Xenopus tropicalis: one gene and its partners. The protein of the gene in region 3 purifies or fractionates together with the protein of the main gene of each other region. This does not show direct contact. Links are inferred from orthologs where the notes say so. Each region holds a gene or a part of one and is shown on either strand. Other genes may lie near its edges. The genes, in order: rps6ka3, hsp90ab1, fgfr1 and cdc37.

Region 1 (4,388 bases), on a different chromosome or scaffold from region 3:
AATGTGGGGGTCCGAAAATAACTTTTTTGCAAGGGGTCCTGGGACTGGATGCTACATATCCCAGTTGTTTGTAAGAAATAGTGCTTAGTGTTGCAGTGGTGTGAGTAGAGGTTAAGAAAGAGTCTGTCAGAATTAACCATTAGCACCCATGCTCTTCTGCCCCCTTTCCGTGCAGCCTCTAGGTCTGCTGACATTTTTGTTACATCCCCCATATAGAACCTTTTTGAATTTTTAACTTCTTATACCTGAATTCCCTTTCACCATGCAGATCCAAACAGTGGAGTCAAATTTATGATATGCTGCAACTTTATTCAGACCAAATTTTGGACCAAGATACCAGCTGCTAGAGCTATATGGTTAAGGCAAATGTCTGATGTGACATTTTCCTTGGAGGAGTAAATAAATGCAATGTGGCTGCCTTCAAGGGCAGATTTCTAAACCATGCAAGCATGCATTTTTGGACAGAATGATTTTCAGGTCAGCAGAGAAAACATCACTTGTGACATGAGCTAAGGTCACACGAGGCATAGCCATGACTTTTTCCACAGGCGGTCAATGTGGTCTCCTCTAGCCATGTCTCTGCACTGACAGGTATGGTGTTGGCCTATGCACACACAGTGGTTATTGTCACAAAAATGCAAAAATATGAAAATCCCACATAAATGCGAAATCCGCTCTGTGTATCTGCTAACAGGCTGATGCTGTGCCTGGCAATGCAGAGACACAGCAAAGCGGAAGGAAGCATGTCGGTTCTCTTGGAGAAGGCGAAAGAAACTAAAGCTGCGCCTCATTTGACATTAGTCTTAGGGGGCAGAGAAAACACCATGTGTGGCATTACCCTTGGGGGCTACAAGGGTTTATTAGTTGCTTCTACCCCTTTTATAGCATCTTCATTCCTGGTCATCCATACCTATTTTTTTTCATCTGATTTTGTTATAATTGCCTCTGTCTTTAGGCTCTAGTATAATGCAAACTCTAGTATAATACATTATTCGGTCTTACTTAATGCACAAGAACAGGGAGTTTTGTGAGAATACATCATTTCTTTGGAAAGGGAGAATGTAGGATACAAAACTTGTTTTATGGTGTTTACATCTGGCTATGTTTTCTGCTATGTAACCTGTGCCTTTTTTCCTTGAGTGGCTGCCCCAGTGGCTACACAGCAGCTTTGTTTATATTAACTATAGCAGTCTTTTTGATGCAAATACACAACTTTTACCAGGGCAGGGCAATAGTACATTACATGAATCTATTCATTACTTTGATAAACTTTCCTGAGCTGTTAAATGGGCAGCAGCCAATTACAGCCATACCATAAATCCCTTTATGTCTGCAAGGAATGTATTAGTGTTATGAAAATACTGATAACGCATTAGCTATACTTAAGTGCATTTTTTTCTTAGGGCTCTGGCACACGGGGAGATTAGTCGCCCGCGACAAATCTCCCTGTTCGCGGGCGACTAATCTCCCCGAGTTGCCATCCCACCGGCGAACGTGTAAGTTGCCGGTGGGATGGCACACGCGGCGGTGCGATTTCGGCAAATCGCCGAAAATGCCTCGACCGGCGACTTACATGTTTGGCGGTGGGATGGTAGTTCGGGGAGATTGGTCGCCTGTGACAAGGGAGATTTGTCGCGGGCGAATAATCTCCCCGTGTGCCAGAGCCCTTAAGCTCCTTGTACATAAAAAAAACTACTTATATGGCGAGGATACCTGATTTGGCCAACCATCAGATCGTCACAGGGGCTTATGTCCCAAATGGTAAAGGACTTCATTAATAAACCTCATCTGACTGAATTTTTAAACCTGATAGCTATTGGTTAGGCAGTGTATTGGTTTGCCCTTATACATGAGCCTATAAACTGTCTACTCATTTGGGAGGGGCAAAGTTAGCAGCTGTTTATCTTGTGTATGGCCTTTTAGATTGTCCAATCTGCAGCTGTCCAGATGTTGAAATAGCTTTTTCTGTGGCTGTAGTGAGATTCCAGCAGTTATATTTCAAGAACAATAATTGGACATCCTTGATTATATTGCTTTAAAACATGGAAAAATCAACACACAGTTTTCTGAGAACACCGTTTGAAAATGCAACCTGTGCTTGCAATATATATAATTTATAGGGGTAAATTATTCTTTATAATAAACAAATTTCAAGAGTCACTTTGCACATGACATCAGTACCTATTCTAATGATGTAAATGAGCAGCATTTAAAGGGATATAATTAACAGGTTATTCACATCTCTTTTCTATATTTAATTAAAAATGTTAAATGCTGCCAAATCTATTGAGTTAAACATTCTTCTTTTTGCATATGTTTAGAGCCAAACTTGGGATGCCTCAATTTTTAACTCCAGAAGCTCAGAGTCTCCTCCGCATGCTGTTCAAGAGAAATCCTACCAACAGACTAGGTGAGCTAAATGATTTTAGTGTTACCATTTATTTCAGCTTAATGTATATTTGTATAATGTTATTCTGCTTGCTAAAATCTCAGGACCAAAGAAAAATCCTTAATCGCATTTTTACTATTTTATGAAGGAGCAGGGCCAGATGGGGTTGAAGAGATTAAGAGACATCCATTTTTTGCCACAATTGATTGGAATGTAAGACATTTCCCTCTGCAATGACACATATGATATATCTTTTGTTTTCACCCAAGATTCTAGGGACATTATTTTTGTTTGTATTTTTTTTAGAAACTGTATAGGAGAGAGAACCAGCCACCTTTTAAACCAGCCACTGGTGGACCAGAGGACACATTTTATTTTGATCCCGAGTTCACAGCAAAAACACCAAAAGGTAGGTTATTTTTACCTGTTTCTCATTTACTGTGTGCAACTTAATTAGTAAATGGTGGGTATTCTGATGTGTTATGTCCTATATGTTTGCTGACCCTCAGCGCCGGATTTGTGCGCCCCTAACCCCCCCCCCCCCCCCCCCCCCGTGAGCGCATGCGAGAACGCGGAACCAGGCAGGTGTGACACATGTCATACAGAAATACAGTTGTCGCAGCGGTCTTTTTATATATCTATAATTTTGTTTGGAGGAAATGGGGCCCTGAACAAAAGTTGGGCCTCAGATGCAAGCCTGAACTCAGATGGTTCATAAGTCACTGCCTCAGAGGTATTATTCACCTTGAAAATAACTTTTACTATGATGTAGAGACTTGTATTCCTACACAGACTACAATTTGCCTTCATTTTTTTTATTATTTGTGGTATTTTAATTTTTTTTTTTTTGCTTTTTGTTCAGCAACTCTCCAGTTTGCAATTTCTGCAGTTATCTGGTTACTAGAGTAGGGCTTACCCTAGCTTTATTTCATTTTATCTATGTATTATAATTTTTTAGCAATCAATATATATATATCATATATCATTTTCATTTTTTAGAGTTAGTCTTTCAAACACCGGATCTTATCGATCTCATGGAAACATTATGAAAGCTATTGTTTAAATCTGCTCTCTGTTTGTTACACTATAGGGCTTATTTATCAATTTTAGTGTTTGTTTCTCTAAATGAATAAACTTGCATATCAAATGGTCGCTTATTTATTAATAGGAAAAACTCTGAGCTCTAAAAATTCTTAACGGAAAAGATTTTAAGAATATGGCTTGACTTTGCCTATGACAACTCCCATTGACTTCCATAGAAGCTCCCAAGCTTTTACATGGCAATTTTTTACATTTTTTGCACTTAATAAATACCAGACATTTGAGTGTAGGAACGAAAACTCGAATCCGAGTTTCTTAAGCACAAAAAACTTGAGTTGAGGGAAAAAAACCTTGACTTGATAAATCACCCCTTATGTAAAACAATCCTTTCTAGTTTGTTCATCTTTCCCTGGGTTTATGTAGCTATATTTTACCAAACCTAGTGTCTAGTGTACAGTTATGATCATTTTTACCAAATGTATAATACATTTATTTTTAACACCTAGATTCTCCTGGTATCCCAGCAAGTGCCAATGCACACCAGCTCTTCCGTGGGTTCAGCTTTGTTGCCATTACATCTGAGGATGAAAACCAAGCTATGCAAACGGTTGGGGTTCATGCTATTGTTCCAGTAAGCACATTTTTTCTTTGAAGTGTACATACAGTGCCGCTTTTAATAATTCATTTGTATTTTAAATGCTAATTTATAGTTGTATATAACATACATACATTTTAACTTTCTCAGCACTCTATATAATGGCATAAATACATGTTAGGTACCATTAACAGCCTGGGAAAAATTACTCGAAACTCAAGAGCCAGTGGAGAAACCTATATCCAACCTTTACAAACTTTTAATAAATAATATGGAGACTCCCAAAAGAGGTTTTTGTACAGAATGGGAAAAAGAGCTGGGTATAGAAATACCTGAAACGGTTTGGGAAATGGGAGTTACCTC
Region 2 (5,100 bases), on a different chromosome or scaffold from region 3:
TTAGATTGTAAGCTCACTGGGGCAGGGACTGATGGGAATGGGATAGGGACCTTAGATTGTAAACTCACTGGGGCAGGGACTGATGGGAATGTGATAGGGACCTTAGATTGTAAGCTCACTGGGGCAGGGACTGATGGGAATGGGATAGGGACCTTAGATTGTAAGCTCACGGGGCAGGGGCTGATGGGAATGGGATAGGGACCTTAGATTGTAAGCTCACTGGGGCAAGGGACTGATGGGATGGATAGGGGCCCTTAGATTGTAAGTCACTGGGGCAGGGGCTGATGGGATGTGATAGGGACTTAGATTGTAAGCTCACTGGGGCAGGGGTGATGGGAATGTGATAGGGACCTTAGATTGTAGCTCACTGGGGCAGGGGCTGATGGGAATGTGATAGGGACCTTAGATTGTAAGCTCACTGGGGCAGGGCTGATGGGAATGGATAGGGACCTTAGATTGTAAGCTCACTGGGGCAGGGCTGATGGGAATGTGATAGGGACCTTAGATTGTAAGCTCACTGGGCAGGGACTGATGGAATGGGATAGGGACCTTTAGATTGTAAGCTCACTGGGCAGGGGCTGATGGGAAGGGACTTAGAGGTGTAAGCTCCTGGGGCAGGGGCTGATGGGAATGGGATGGGACTTAGATTGTAAGCTCACTGGGCAGGGGCTGATAGGGAATGTGATAGGGACCTTAGATTGTAAGCTCACTGGGGGCAGGGGCTGATGGGAATGGGAATAGGGACCATTAGATTGTAAGCTCACTGGGCAGGGGCTGATGGGAATGTGATAGGGGACCTTAGATTGTAGCTCACTGGGGCAGGGGCTGATGGGAATGGGATAGGGACCTTAGATTGTAAGCTCACTGGGGCAGGGGCTGATGGGAATGGGGATAGGACCTTAGATTGTAAGCTCACTGGGCAGGGACTGATGGAATGGATAGGGGCCTTAGATTGTAAGCTCACTGGGGCAGGGGCTGATGGGAATGGATAGGGACCTTAGATTGTTTAGCTCACTGGGGCAGGGGCTGATGGGAATGGGATAGGGACCTTAGATTGTAAGCTCACTGGGGCAGGGACTGATGGAATCGGGATAGGGCCTTAGATTGTAAGCTCACTGGGGCAGGGACTGATGGGAATGGGATAGGGACATTAGAGTGTAAGCTCACTGGGGCAGGGGCTGATGGGAATGGGATAGGGACATTAGAGTGTAAGCTCACTGGGGCAGGGGCTGATGGGACAGAATACCAGGGCTACAGAAATAAAACAACCAAATAAACCCTTTATCTTCCCATGTGACTCAGCAGCCATTTGTCCCTGCAGTTAGTGACGTAACAGGAGCCTTGCCCCTCCCACTAGCCTGGCCCCTCCCACAAACAACAGAGGGCGAGCGGAATGACAAAGCAGCAGATGGCGGCAGCGGGGCTGAAGGGTTCATTTGCCTCACAGACAAGGAAGAAGGGGCGGGGCAGGGGAGAGGCAGGGGAGGGACAAAAGGCGGAGTCACTAGAGAAACTACTAGAAAATTACACTACCTCCTCCGCTTGGTATCCTCCCGCCAAGGAAAAAAAATAGTCCCAGCAGCATTTGCTATAAGGAGGGAACCTCCCGGGCCGGCCAGAGGGGGCGCTGTGAGTGAGTGCTGAGTAACACAGAGTTGCGCATGCTCAGTTCCCTGAGGAGAGACGCACTCGGTAGTTTGATTATTGCAGCTGGGCTGAAAGGCGAAATCCCAGATCCGTACTGGGAAGCCCTGGTCCCACGGAGCTACTGCCCGCACTCTCTCTCACTGCGGCTCCGCGTACTCAGCCCTAGCTGCAAATAGTGCCGGCACTGGTGCAGGCGGAGGGATCTGGGGCTGCTCTCCGCCCAGTATAAAAGGTGCCCGGCTGCTTGTTTCTTTCCTCTTCATTCACCAATTCCCCAGCAGTGTTCGGCCGCGGAGATCCTTAAGCAGCCAAGGTACCCGGGGGGGCATTGTGTGGGGCTGCTGGGGGCATTGTGTGGGGCTGCTGGGGGCATTGTGAGGGGCTGCTGGGGGGGGCATTGTGAGGGGCTGCTGGGGGGGGCATTGTGAGGGGCTGCTGGGGGGATAGTGAGGGGCTGCTGGGGGGCAGCGGGCTGGGTATTGGCACTTGGGAGTCCGAGTGGGGCAATGGCTGGAGAAACTGAGGCAGGAGCCATAGTAGCGGGGAGAGGGGCAGTTAGATGGGGGAGAGGGGCAGTTAGATGGGGGAGAGGGGCAGTTAGATGGGGGAGAGGGGCAGTTAGATGGGGGAGAGGGGACATTATCGTTGAGGCGAATTCGGGGCCCCTGTAATTCTCTACGGGAAAGGTTCATTCTGTGTATTATTCCCGGGGTTTCCCTAACTGTCAGTCCCGGCCCCGCCCCCCGGCCCTGGAACCTTCTAGATCTTTCTACCCCCCCCCGCGGGTGGGGGCGCACATGGTTAGGGAGCCGGTAGCGCCGCCATGTTGGGATGAAGCGCGTCACAGCCGGGGCCGGGCCGTGTATCCATGGTAACGGCTCCCCCTGCGCCCGGTCATGGTCTGTCCCGCTGCTGCTTGCGCCGTATGGGCTGGTCCATGTGTTCCCTCTGCTGGGGGGGGGGGAACGAATAACACTGACAGCTGCCCCACACCCGGGGCTCCTGTTGCCCCCCACACCCGGGGCTCCTGTTGCCCCCCACACCCGGGGCTCCTGTTGCCCCACACCCAGCGGGACAGGTCGCAAATGTCTTTCAGCCCAAAATCGGGGGAGGGGGGATTTAAAAGCTTCTCACAGGGTCTTAAAGGGCCAGTACCCCCAGTTACTCAGTGTGAGCTCAATGAGTAGAGCAAGTTCTGCACAGAGATCTGCCTGTTGCTGTAAGGAGATAATAGGACTTATTTAATATAAATATATTTCTCTAACCAGGGTGGAACTGAAAGTAAAAGTCCCTTACATGGCTGCTGTGAAGCCTCTATATAAACAAACCCCTCCCTTTCCCCAATGGCAGGGTGTGAGTGTTATACAGAGGCTGCTGCTTTGTTTCCATTCTGCTCATAAGAGCAGGAAGTAGAATGTTGCATAGGAGGGGGCAGTTATACGGCCCCTGGTGTTGCACGGGGCAATAGTCCTGCCTAAGACCCAGCTGACTCTCGTTCCCTTACACAGATGCCTGAAGTCGCTCACAATGGAGAGGAGGAGGTGGAGACATTTGCCTTCCAGGCGGAGATTGCGCAGCTCATGTCCCTCATCATCAACACCTTCTACTCCAACAAAGAAATCTTCCTGCGAGAGTTGATCTCCAACGCCTCCGACGTAAGTCTGTCCTTGGCTGCCTATGTGCCAACTGTGCCAGTGCCCAAGCACCCATATGTGGGGGGAGGGGGTATCTGAACTAAAGCAGAGCTGGCCTCTTGGCTCAGCTAGTGATAGAATGGTGTGTGTGCTCTGCAGCCAAGCTGTTATATTAGTAGGTATTGTGGCAGCTTCACTGCCTGTTGCATAGGGGTCTGGGGGGACTGTTATAATGAGGGGGGGGGGGCCCTCTGGGCTAGTAGCCACTCTCTGCCAATCCTCAACCTTCTCCCCATTGTTCGGTGCCGCAGGCCCTGGATAAGATCCGATACGAGAGTCTGACCGATCCCTCCAAGCTGGACAGCGGCAAAGACCTGAAGATCGACATCATTCCCAACCGCCAGGAGCGCACACTGACTGTCATCGACACCGGGATTGGCATGACCAAGGCCGACCTCATCAACAACCTGGGAACCATCGCCAAGTCCGGCACCAAGGCTTTCATGGAGGCCCTGCAGGTCGGTACCAGCGGCCCAATATAAAGCATTGACTATTAAATGCTGGCGCATTAAGTACCGTCCACTAGCCAGTGGTGTCTCCCTGAAGTCCAATTGAGTTGTGGTTCCTTCTCTCTGACAGGCTGGTGCTGACATCTCTATGATTGGTCAGTTCGGTGTGGGTTTCTATTCTGCGTACTTGGTGGCAGAGAAGGTCTTGGTCATCACCAAACACAACGATGATGAACAGTACGCGTGGGAATCCTCCGCCGGCGGCTCTTTCACCGTGAAGACTGACCATGGTGAGTTTGTGTTCAATTGGACCAGAATTCCCCTAAAGGCCTGTAAGTTGGCACCACTAACCCCAAACTGGTATTTCCTGCTAGGTGAGCCCATTGGCCGTGGTACCAAAGTCATCCTCTACCTGAAGGAAGATCAGACAGAGTACCTGGAGGAGAAACGTGTCAAGGAAACCGTGAAGAAACACTCGCAGTTCATTGGCTACCCAATCACCCTCTATGTGAGTATGGCCGGCCAGCTGGGGGCAGGGCCCTGGGTCTGATGTACGATTGGCTCACTATTTGTCTCCCCGACAGCTGGAGAAGGAGAGGGAAAAGGAGATCAGCGACGATGAGGCAGAGGAGGAGAAAGAGGAAGAAAAGAAGGAAGAGGAGGGAGAGAACGACAAACCTAAAATAGAGGACGTGGGCTCCGATGAGGAAGAGGAGGGGAAGGACAAGAAGAAAAAGACAAAGAAGATCAAGGAGAAGTACATCGACCAGGAGGAGCTGAACAAAACCAAGCCCATCTGGACCCGTAACCCAGACGACATCACCCAGGAAGAGTACGGAGAGTTCTACAAGAGCCTGACCAATGACTGGGAGGATCACTTGGCTGTGAAGGTAAGAAGAAAAAAAAACCCCATAATGCACCGCTTGTTCAGCTCTGGGTTCCACACTCTCTCCTGAGCGCTAACACCCCCTGTTCTGCTTCCCCCCAGCACTTCTCTGTGGAGGGGCAACTGGAGTTCCGCGCTCTGCTCTTCATTCCCCGCCGCGCCCCCTTTGATCTGTTTGAGAACAAGAAGAAGAAGAACAACATCAAGCTGTACGTGCGCCGCGTCTTCATCATGGATAGCTGCGACGAGCTGATCCCAGAGTATCTGAGTAAGTACTGGCCCGAAGCTTAGTGGGCCCCCTCCTTCCCCCCCCCCCCATAGGATGGGATGCTGGGTAAAGCCTTCCAATAGTCTGGCATTAGATGCTTCATTAACAGTCTAGCATGTAGATCTTTTGCTTGATGTGGTGACACAGGCAGGCAGG
Region 3 (4,388 bases):
AAAGTGCACTGGCTGGAGGTGAACAATAGGAAGATTGGTTGGTTCCATTCGCAACCGGAGAAAAAAAAAAGTACCTCCTACAAAAGGCATGTGGTAAGGAATAAGGCTGAAGATGTAGGAGTGGAATTGTACCGTGCTTCTGAGGAACTCGTGGCATTTCTGGAATGCTCGAAACAAATGTTCTTTCATTGGAATATATGGAGAGGAACCCCCCCCACTGAACCTCCAAGGTCAGCGTTTTTTAAGTCCACCATTGGAGTATTTGGGAAGGCAAGGTTCATCAGGGAGGGGGTCATGAGAGAACACAGAGTCCTCGCCTGAAGAACACGTGGAACTTCGAGTGTCTGGGAAACATGGAGAATACTGATTCACTGGCATGGAAAGATCGAGATACTCCTGCAGAGAGGGAAAGAGAAAACGATGGAACGTTACCAATGCGGAACAGTGACTATAACACATTCAGGCACAATACAGTGAAACCAGGACTATATACAGTAGAATTCATTAAAAACGTACCTGATTGGAACTCAGAGCAAGAATTCGGTCAAGATCTTCAACCAGCTGATTGAATGTTGGTCTTTGAGAAGGCATGGCATGCCAGCAGTCCTTCATCATCATATACCTACAGAAACAGAGCTTACATTAAATTCACTAGCCCCCGAGGCAACGTGTTTATGGACATGATAAGGAGACACAAGCAGTGGTTGTTAAGCTACAAGTTAAAAAAGCATAGACGCACATAGATACTTACAACTCATTGGTGCAGGTAGTGGGTTTATCCATTCTGTGCCCTTCCTTAAGTAACTTAAAGAGCTCTTCCATGGGGACACCAGGATACGGGGAGCCCCCGAGCGTGAAAATCTCCCACAGCAGCACACCGAACGACCAGCTGAAATACAGCAGGAAGAGGTTAAGAGTGCACAACTGCAGTCATCCTACAAAAACCGCTGAGCCCAACAGATGTTGCATTAGAGATCAGTAACCTTCATGACTCCATGCTTTTATATGGCAAAGGAAATCCTCCTTCCAGGCCCAGACTGGCAATCTGTGGGTTCTGGCAAATGCCACAGGGGCTGCTGTAAGAAGCCATAGACAGTCACTATTTATTGGGCTGGTAGGGGGCTGTTTGGGCCTCTGTGTACTTTAATACTTTAAATGCCAGGGCCTAATTTGAATCTATTGGAGGAGACCTGCCTCCTTCAACAGCCTTAAAACATGACATTAGGGAATACATTAGCCTCTATTATACAAACAAAATCCATCTTTTTTTTCTAGTTACTACTGTCTAGTACAGGGCAGTCCAACGGGGAGCTTGTGAGCCAGGTGTAGCCCACATATTGCTCAGGAGCTACGCTGGACCCCTTTGGATGACATATAGTTACATAGTTACATAAGGTTGAGTCCATCAAGTTCAACCCATCAATGTTTTATTGTTATCTGGCCCCAAACAGAGAATAATTGGCCCAGTATATTGGCTTCAATAAATGGGGGTGTATAAAACATTTTATAAAGGTTTCTGCATCTATTTATGAGGTAACCCCCATGGATGACTTGAAATGCAAAAAACTCTAAGCTGAATGCACACCCACTGATATTTTGCATTTTTCAATAACCAACAAAAATGATCCGTTTTGGCCAATCCATCTGTATTGTGAGTGTCCTAACAGTGGTGTAACTAAGGAAGCAGACCCCATGGTTGCACGGGAACCCAGACTGCGGGGACTGCTTCCTCTATAGTTGCATAAAAATCCCACCTGAGAGCAGGCAGGGGAGTGGGGATTCATACACGTGTGGGAGGGGGACAGGTAGGGTTTGCTACTCGGCACCAGGCTACAGGGTCTGGAGGGCCCAGTGCAGAGTAGTTACATCATTGTGCCCTACGTTCAATAAAAAGCTCACATTTAATGATACTCACACATCACTCTGATGAGTGTAAATCCGGTCAAAAAGGGCTTCTGGGGCCATCCATTTTACAGGCAGCCGTCCCTAAAAGAAAATTCCATGTCTTAATATCAGCATTCCAGTAAGATCAAGATAGTTTCCTTAATGACAAGCCTGGCTTAGGTAGGCAGCATTGTGGGGACCTTGCAAAAACTATTTTGGTGGCTTTGACAGTGTAGGGAAATTGCCACAGGATATTTAGCTTTCCTAGTGACACTCAACCAGTGGAAATAGAAGTGAAGTCACGTTCCTCGCGTGTTCATGGCCCTAAATTTTCTATTATTTGGCTCCTACAACCTATCTTTCCCTGCTGCAAACAACTTAGTCTCAGTACAAGTAACTGGCTGATAACGGCTAGTCACTGAGTCAGACTCCGTGACACACTCCCCCCGTCATAATGCACAAAAGTTTTAGTTGCCGTTATCGAGTAGCAATTATTACACACAATAGAGGTCACTTATGGTGACTGGTGGAAAAAGGGGTGCAAGAGCACATCTCTTAGTATTTACTCATTCAGCCAGCGCACCCCCCCCCCATACAAAAATCTGCACCTCCTACAAACGGGAGACCCCAGCCATTTCCAAGGAAGGTGAAAAATGAATTTTATTGTGCCGCATACCTGCGCTAGGTAGGAATGGGATGTCTGTAAAGTACTCACGTTTGTGGTCTTCTTGTAATAGTCAATGTGATGGATATCACGGGCTAAGCCGAAGTCGGCAATCTTCATCACATTGTCCTCTGTTACCAAGACATTCCTTGCAGCCAGGTCTCGGTGGATACACTGTGGGGGACAACCATGCAGAGCTATTAATTTCACGACTAAACTATATGGGTCATAAAACTGAACTATTTGTTGAAATGCTAAAAACTACAATCAGTGCAGGAATATATTTTTGAATATAATATCACTGTAATTTTCCTCTTAGGTCTTCGAAGTAAAGGCAACAGGTTGCTACCAACCTTTTTAGAGGCAAGGTACTCCATCCCACGCGCCACCTGGTAAGCACACGACACCAGATCCTTGAAGGAGAGCAGCTGATCGGGGGCACAGGTAGGGTTGTAGCAGTACTCCATGCCCGGGGGGCGCCTGGCTCGCAAGTACTCTCTAAGGTTCCCCTTGGAAGCATATTCCACAATTACATAGAGTGGACCTGAAGGGAAGAGATGGTAATCAGTGCTAATGTAAAGATATCTCCTCTGCAGCAATATCTACAGGTATAATTCCTAGTGATCCAGCCAAGCATTGATATGTCGGGTATATGTCCTCTTAATGGAAGATAACATTTCTTGGTATAGGATAGTTTGCCCAGGAAGCTATATTTACCTATGTAATATGTTTATTCTTATAAAAAGGCAGCTGTCATATTGGTAAGTATGCATTTCATTACATCCATAAACTCATATGGATAATAATATAAACAACTCATAATATAAAACAGCGGCCTCTGGTGGTCAGTCATGAAAATCATAGATTTTGTAAATGGCTTTACGCTAACAAAATATTTGCTGTTCGCTAAAACCACTAGTTGTCAGTCTCTTAGTAGTGACTGGCAGAGAGCCACTAATTCAGGGACAGCAAACCTAAACATAACTCTTAGTACGTTATCTTTAAACCAGCATATGTAGTTCAGCATACAGCTACTGTAATGGATAACTAAGCCCTAACTAACTAACTAACTAACTGCAACCTGGTAGGGGGTGGTGCTCTGGGAACAGCTACTGTAATAAATAACCAAGTACCTGCTGATTGGAGGAGGAGATCCTCCAATCAATAGACCATCACTAACAGTTTTTCTAAACACGAACAAAATGGCGGCAGCATAGCAGGTGTTATTGTGGTTCTTACATAGGAGAAGGTAGTGGAAGGGAAAGGAGGATGGGTATGCACGAAAAGGAGGGGTTCAGGTCAAAACATTATAATACATGTTATTCAGTTTGAAGGAACTCACCATCTTGGGTGCAGGCACCAAGTAAATTGATGATATTTTTGTGTTTTCCAATCATTTTCATCATTTCCATCTCGGAAATCAGATCAGACAGGTCCTTTTCACTTGCATCAGCTAAACGGAGATAAATATTCACATTATGGAACAATAAACTATACTTATCTTATAAATTCATGATCACAGTCTCTATTATCCAACCCATATGACCCAGTTGGCGTTTATTGGCTTCTCCTTGTCAAGACTAGTATTACTGTATCCAAGCAAAATGGCAGCCTACTTTAGCTAGGAATGAGAAGCCTTCAATGTGATTGGCTGTCAGATAGTACATTGGCAAAGCCCACCTCAAAACCTTTCATAAAGTATAGTAAATGAAATGAATTAGCATAGGGTCAGTTTCTATAAAGGCAACTCACACTTTAACATCTTCACGGCAACTTTTGTCACTTTGTTAGGCTTCTCCTTATCCAGGCCGATAGCCTCTGCCATTACTACTTGCCCAAA
Region 4 (5,051 bases), about 6.7 Mb from region 3:
CTTAAGGACCAACTGCAGAACTGCCCCCACATCCCAATAGAAAGTAATGGTACAATCACATACCCTATAGAGCAGGGAGCAGGTTGCAGAACATGCAGGTTGAGTCTGAAAGAGCAAAAAAGAATACAAAATGGAGCCTCTGTCTATACTGCCCAACTGCATGCTGGGTATTGATTGTAGTTTTATATTAATCCTAGCTGTAGGCTAATTGTTAGATACAAACTACATTACCCAGCATGCAGTGGGACAGCCACACTAGAGGGAAAAACTTTGGCTAGTTTCCAAACTACAAACCCGCCAAGGCGCTAAAAAATAGCCCAAATCTGTACCTTGGCTGTACATTGGAACCCCACCTGGGCTTTAAACTAGTAGAAGAGTTATTATAAAATTATGCTTTTTTACACTTTGAAATGGCTTTTACAGATTGTTTAAAGGTTAAATATGCTAATTGCACAATTGTGTGTGCTAATGAAGTGTGAGACTATTTAATCAAGTTCAATGCACTTGTTTTTATGCCTGAAGAAGGCTAATTTGGTCATTTGGCCCTGGGGCCAAACTACGGAATTATAATGACGGGTATAGGCAAGTCATTTTGGGGACTGCATCAACGAGCCGATGCGGTCCCAGATCCGTCAAAATTTTTTAACCTGCCCGATTTCAGGCCAGATGTCGGTCATGCAGGCCCGTCGTTCGTGCCCCTACACGGGCCAATAAGCTGCCGAATCGGTCAAAAGGTGCCCATACACGGGCCGATTGTAGCTGCCAATATCGGTCCCTTGGACTGTTTCGGAAGCTTATTGGCCCGTGTAGGGGCAGGAACGAGGAGCACGCCCGACCGATATCTAGACTCACATTGGCCACATATTGATCGGGCAGGTTAAAAGATTTAGTTGGATCGGGGAACGCATCGGCTCGTTGATGCAGTCCCCGAACCAACTGCCCCATTGCCATTATAATTCGATTGGCCCCAGGGCCAAACGATCAAATTTGCCTACATGTTCCCCGATATCACCCACCCGTAGGATCTTCACGTGTATGGACACCTTAAGGGACCGATATCGGCCGCTAAAATCGGCACGTGTATGGCCACCTTAAAGCACAGATCTGCTTGCCTGGCAATTAGGCACATTTGGTAACTGACCCTCAACCAATACCTAATGGAAACCAATTATATATTGCTTCAAAGTGATTTATATTTACAATTGTAACGACAAGCAGTATTTGTATATCCCTTTCTGTTCTCTGGTTTTGCTACATTGTTTCAGGAGTCAGAACCAGCAGCGCAAACAACAGTAACAGCCAGGCAGACGCTGCTTTGAACAAAAATCACAAAATATCAAAATGATTTATTTTTCTTTTTAATGTATGTATACCAGAAAGCTGCCTAGAATTAAGTTAAAATAAAACAGATTCCGGATGGTGTTCCCCTTTCACAATATAAGCAGTTGTTTCATGTTTTCCTCCCCCTTGGGCCGCCTATAATGTTGATTGTGGAAAAACCCTTCGCATACCATCCTATAAAGCCGTTTCTATCTCCAATTCCCCTCCACAAACCACTCCCTACGGCAGCAAGAACAAACCTGCCTGTCTAGCAAAGGCGGAAGTGACGCAAGGAGAATGGAATAGGCAAAAAAGGAAGTCGGCCCGAAGACTCTAGCGTAAGGGCAAATCAGCCGCGTCGAGGTTAAGGAAGTGATGTCATGGAGTGGGCAGGCTGAGGCAGAGAGTGCAGGAGCTTTCCAGAAGCTTGCGAGGGGGCCTGCAGCTGCACCCTGGTGTGCCAGGTAATGGCTTCTTCCCACAGCTGGCTATTTCTCTTATACCTGCCTGCGGTGCTGCTATATCCTATTTACCTATACGGACAGGCTGTTTGGGCAACAGTTTAAGGCATTAAGCAATACTCCCTGGTATAGTGAGCGCTGTTCTTGCCCGGGTAGCTGTACTACAACTCTCACAATTATTGAACATATACTCCAGACTTAAAGTATACTGGGAGTTGTAGTCTAACAATATCTGGGAGCCAGGCTTTATCATCATTAATGGCTGGGGCACAGTATATTATTTTCATCTACCCCCCCCCCCCCCATATCCCTGCCATGTTTCTGATTCTAGTCCCTGACATGTGGCAAGTAAAGCAGGAGTTGGGGGGTCGCACTGTCACATCTGGGGGGGGGGGGGGGTAACCATCAAATATTACATTACTGTTGTTTTTTTGATTTGCCAGGAAGGATGTAGAGACAAAATTATACCAGGAAATTTACTCACCATAACAGAAAAGTAACTTTATATATCCCCCAGTTAGGGGGGGATTTGGGGTGAGTGCTTATTTGTGCCCTGGGTACCCCTGGAACTATAGCAGGGTGACTGTTACCCCAATGTTTCTATATATCTGTAACCTTGTTATGGGCTAAGGGGGCCCAGCCTGAAGGCCAGTTAGGGGGGGATTTGGGGTGAGTGCTTATTTGTGCCCTGGGTACCCCTGGAACTATAGCAGGGTGACTGTTACCCAATGTTTCTATATATCTGTAACCTTGTTATGGGCTAAGGGGGCCCAGCCTGAAGGCCAGTTAGGGGGGATTTGGGGTGAGTGCTTATTTGTGCCCTGGGTACCCCTGGAACTATAGCAGGGTGACTGTTACCCCAATGTTTCTATATATCTGTAACCTTGTTATGGGCTAAGGGGGCCCAGCCTGAAGGCCAGTTAGGGGGGGATTTGGGGTGAGTGCTTATTTGTGCCCTGGGTACCCCTGGAACTATAGTGGGGTGACTGTTACCCCAATATTTCTATATATCTGTAACCTTGTTATGGGCTAAGGGGGCCCAGCCTGAAGGCCAGTTAGGGGGGGATTTGGGGTGAGTGCTTATTTGTGCCCTGGGTACCCCTGGAACTATAGCAGGGTGACTGTTACCCCAATGTTTCTATATATCTGTAACCTTGTTATGGGCTAAGGGGGCCCAGCCTGAAGGCCAGTTAGGGGGGGATTTGGGGTGAGTGCTTATTTGTGCCCTGGGTACCCCTGGAACTATAGCAGGGTGACTGTTACCCCAATGTTTCTATATATCTGTAACCTTGTTATGGGCTAAGGGGGCCCAGCCTGAAGGCCAGTTAGGGGGGGATTTGGGGTGAGTGCTTATTTGTGCCCTGGGTACCCCTGGAACTATAGCAGGGTGACTGTTACCCCAATGTTTCTATATATCTGTAACCTTGTTATGGCTAAGGGGGCCCAGCCTGAAGGCCAGTTAGGGGGGGATTTGGGTGAGTGCTTATTTGTGCCCTGGGTACCCCTGGAACTATAGCGGGGTGACTGTTACCCCAATGTTTCTATATATCTGTAACCTTGTTATGGGCTAAGGGGGCCCAGCCTGAAGGCCAGTTAGGGGGGGATTTGGGGTGAGTGCTTATTTGTGCCCTGGGTACCCCTGGAACTATAGCAGGGTGACTGTTACCCCAATGTTTCTATATATCTGTAGCCTTGTTATGGGCTAAGGGGGCCCAGCCTGAAGGCCAGTTAGGGGGGGGATTTGGGGTGAGTGCTTATTTGTGCCCTGGGTACCCCTGGAACTATAGCAGGGTGACTGTTACCCCAGTGTTTCTATATATCTGTAACCTTGTTATGGGCTAAGGGGGCCCAGCCTGAAGGCCAGTTAGGGGAGATTTGGGGTGAGTGCTTATTTGTGCCCTGGGTACCCCTGGAACTATAGCAGGGTGACTGTTACCCCAATGTTTCTATATATCTGTAACCTTGTTATGAGCTAAGGGGGCCCAGCCTGAAGTCCAGTTAGGGGGAGCTTGAAGACCTCTGTATTAGCTTTTAGTGGGGGAAATTCAACACAGGACAGATAGTCCTTCAATGCATTTTGTAGAGACAAAAAGATTAGAAAGGCTCCATTACCGTTTGGCCCTAGATTCAGTCCTTGATAGTGATGAGGCAGAAGCAGTTATGACAGTAGGTACTAGTAACTGCTGGAATTGCATTGGCTCTGTCGAGGTATTTTGGAGATAATTATGAACACTTAAGACATAAGAGGATCGTGCTTAGGGCCTTATGGATACATCAGGCTTTCTAGACACACAGGAGCTGCTTCTGTAGCAAGTAGTAATATAGACCTTTTATATGTTTGAATTCTTGTAAACAAGTCTTTCTTTATGCCCTTCATTTCAGTGAATCTCTTGTTTGTCTGATCTCTGCTACACAATGGTGGATTATAGCGTGTGGGACCACATTGAAGTTTCTGATGACGAAGATGACACTCATCCCAACATTGACACTGCCAGTCTTTTCCGATGGCGTCACCAGGTAATGCCACATAGGGGGGAAGATTCTCTCTCCTTTCCTCATTGAAAATGTTTTAAAGGAACAGTAACACCAAAAAATGAAAGTGTAAACTAAAATATAATGTGCTGCTGCCCTGCACTGGTAAAAGTTGTGTGTTTACTTCAGAAAGTCTACTATAATTTCTATAAATAAGCTGCTCTGTAGCCATGGAGGCAGCCGTTCAAAGGAGAAAAGGCACAGGCACATAGCAGATAACAGATAAAACACTATTGTATTCTACAGAACTTATCTGTTATCTGCTATGTAACCTGTGTCTTTTCTCCTTTTTTCCAGCTTGAATGGCTGCCCCCATGGCTACACAGCAGCTTATTATATAAATTATTAGGGCTGGGCGATATACCGCTTAATACCGAATACCGGTGTTTTTTTTTTTAAAACTATATTCATTTTTCAGATACCGCAATACCGGGGTGTCAGGGTACTCACCCGTGTGGGCTGGTCTCGCACGCCTCCTTGCGCACGTACATGTCAAAGCGTGCACGTCCGCGACGCGCTGACAGCACCAGTTCTGTGCATGCGTGGGGGGTATTTAAAGCTATCAAACGCCTCCTCCTGTGCTATGTTGTCTGCGGCCTTGCCTGGGAAACTAAGCCTGCCTGATTTACCTTACGACTTTCTGTTGCCGATCCTTCGCTTGCCTGACTCTGATTTTCGATACTGCAGTAATTATTCTCTAATTTATTAGGAAATGGGGTTAACACCTAATCATGCATG

Evidence for each region.
Region 1: the proteins of fgfr1 (region 3) and rps6ka3 purify together in Homo sapiens (affinity purification with mass spectrometry; 4 studies listed by BioGRID and IntAct, with this or other methods). This does not show direct contact. The link is inferred for Xenopus tropicalis from reciprocal best matches to the Homo sapiens genes FGFR1 and RPS6KA3.
Region 2: the proteins of fgfr1 (region 3) and hsp90ab1 purify together in Homo sapiens (affinity purification with mass spectrometry; 3 studies listed by BioGRID and IntAct, with this or other methods). This does not show direct contact. The link is inferred for Xenopus tropicalis from reciprocal best matches to the Homo sapiens genes FGFR1 and HSP90AB1.
Region 4: the proteins of fgfr1 (region 3) and cdc37 purify together in Homo sapiens (affinity purification with mass spectrometry; 3 studies listed by BioGRID and IntAct, with this or other methods). This does not show direct contact. The link is inferred for Xenopus tropicalis from reciprocal best matches to the Homo sapiens genes FGFR1 and CDC37.

The regions. Positions count from the first base shown.
Region 1 is NC_030678.2:43,800,335-43,804,722, reverse strand, and holds part of rps6ka3 (ribosomal protein S6 kinase alpha-3), read left to right. Parts: intron 1-2,321; coding exon 2,322-2,410; intron 2,411-2,537; coding exon 2,538-2,602; intron 2,603-2,695; coding exon 2,696-2,798; intron 2,799-3,936; coding exon 3,937-4,061; intron 4,062-4,388. UniProt on the Homo sapiens protein: Serine/threonine-protein kinase that acts downstream of ERK (MAPK1/ERK2 and MAPK3/ERK1) signaling and mediates mitogenic and stress-induced activation of the transcription factors CREB1, ETV1/ER81 and NR4A1/NUR77, regulates translation through RPS6 and EIF4B phosphorylation, and mediates cellular proliferation, survival, and differentiation by modulating mTOR signaling and repressing pro-apoptotic function of BAD and DAPK1.
Region 2 is NC_030681.2:2,234,769-2,239,868, reverse strand, and holds the start of hsp90ab1 (heat shock protein HSP 90-beta), read left to right. Parts: upstream 1-1,914; 5' UTR 1,915-1,960; intron 1,961-3,155; coding exon 3,156-3,302; intron 3,303-3,592; coding exon 3,593-3,799; intron 3,800-3,920; coding exon 3,921-4,080; intron 4,081-4,164; coding exon 4,165-4,298; intron 4,299-4,374; coding exon 4,375-4,680; intron 4,681-4,778; coding exon 4,779-4,944; intron 4,945-5,100. UniProt on the Homo sapiens protein: Molecular chaperone that promotes the maturation, structural maintenance and proper regulation of specific target proteins involved for instance in cell cycle control and signal transduction. Undergoes a functional cycle linked to its ATPase activity.
Region 3 is NC_030679.2:130,984,014-130,988,401, reverse strand, and holds part of fgfr1 (fibroblast growth factor receptor 1 precursor), read right to left. Parts: coding exon 4,301-4,388; intron 4,002-4,300; coding exon 3,891-4,001; intron 3,093-3,890; coding exon 2,902-3,092; intron 2,723-2,901; coding exon 2,600-2,722; intron 1,987-2,599; coding exon 1,916-1,986; intron 890-1,915; coding exon 752-889; intron 623-751; coding exon 517-622; intron 397-516; coding exon 232-396; 3' UTR 1-231. UniProt on the Homo sapiens protein: Tyrosine-protein kinase that acts as a cell-surface receptor for fibroblast growth factors and plays an essential role in the regulation of embryonic development, cell proliferation, differentiation and migration.
Region 4 is NC_030679.2:137,666,643-137,671,693, reverse strand, and holds the start of cdc37 (hsp90 co-chaperone Cdc37), read left to right. Parts: upstream 1-1,762; 5' UTR 1,763-1,784; intron 1,785-4,163; 5' UTR 4,164-4,196; coding exon 4,197-4,298; intron 4,299-5,051. UniProt on the Homo sapiens protein: Co-chaperone that binds to numerous kinases and promotes their interaction with the Hsp90 complex, resulting in stabilization and promotion of their activity. Inhibits HSP90AA1 ATPase activity.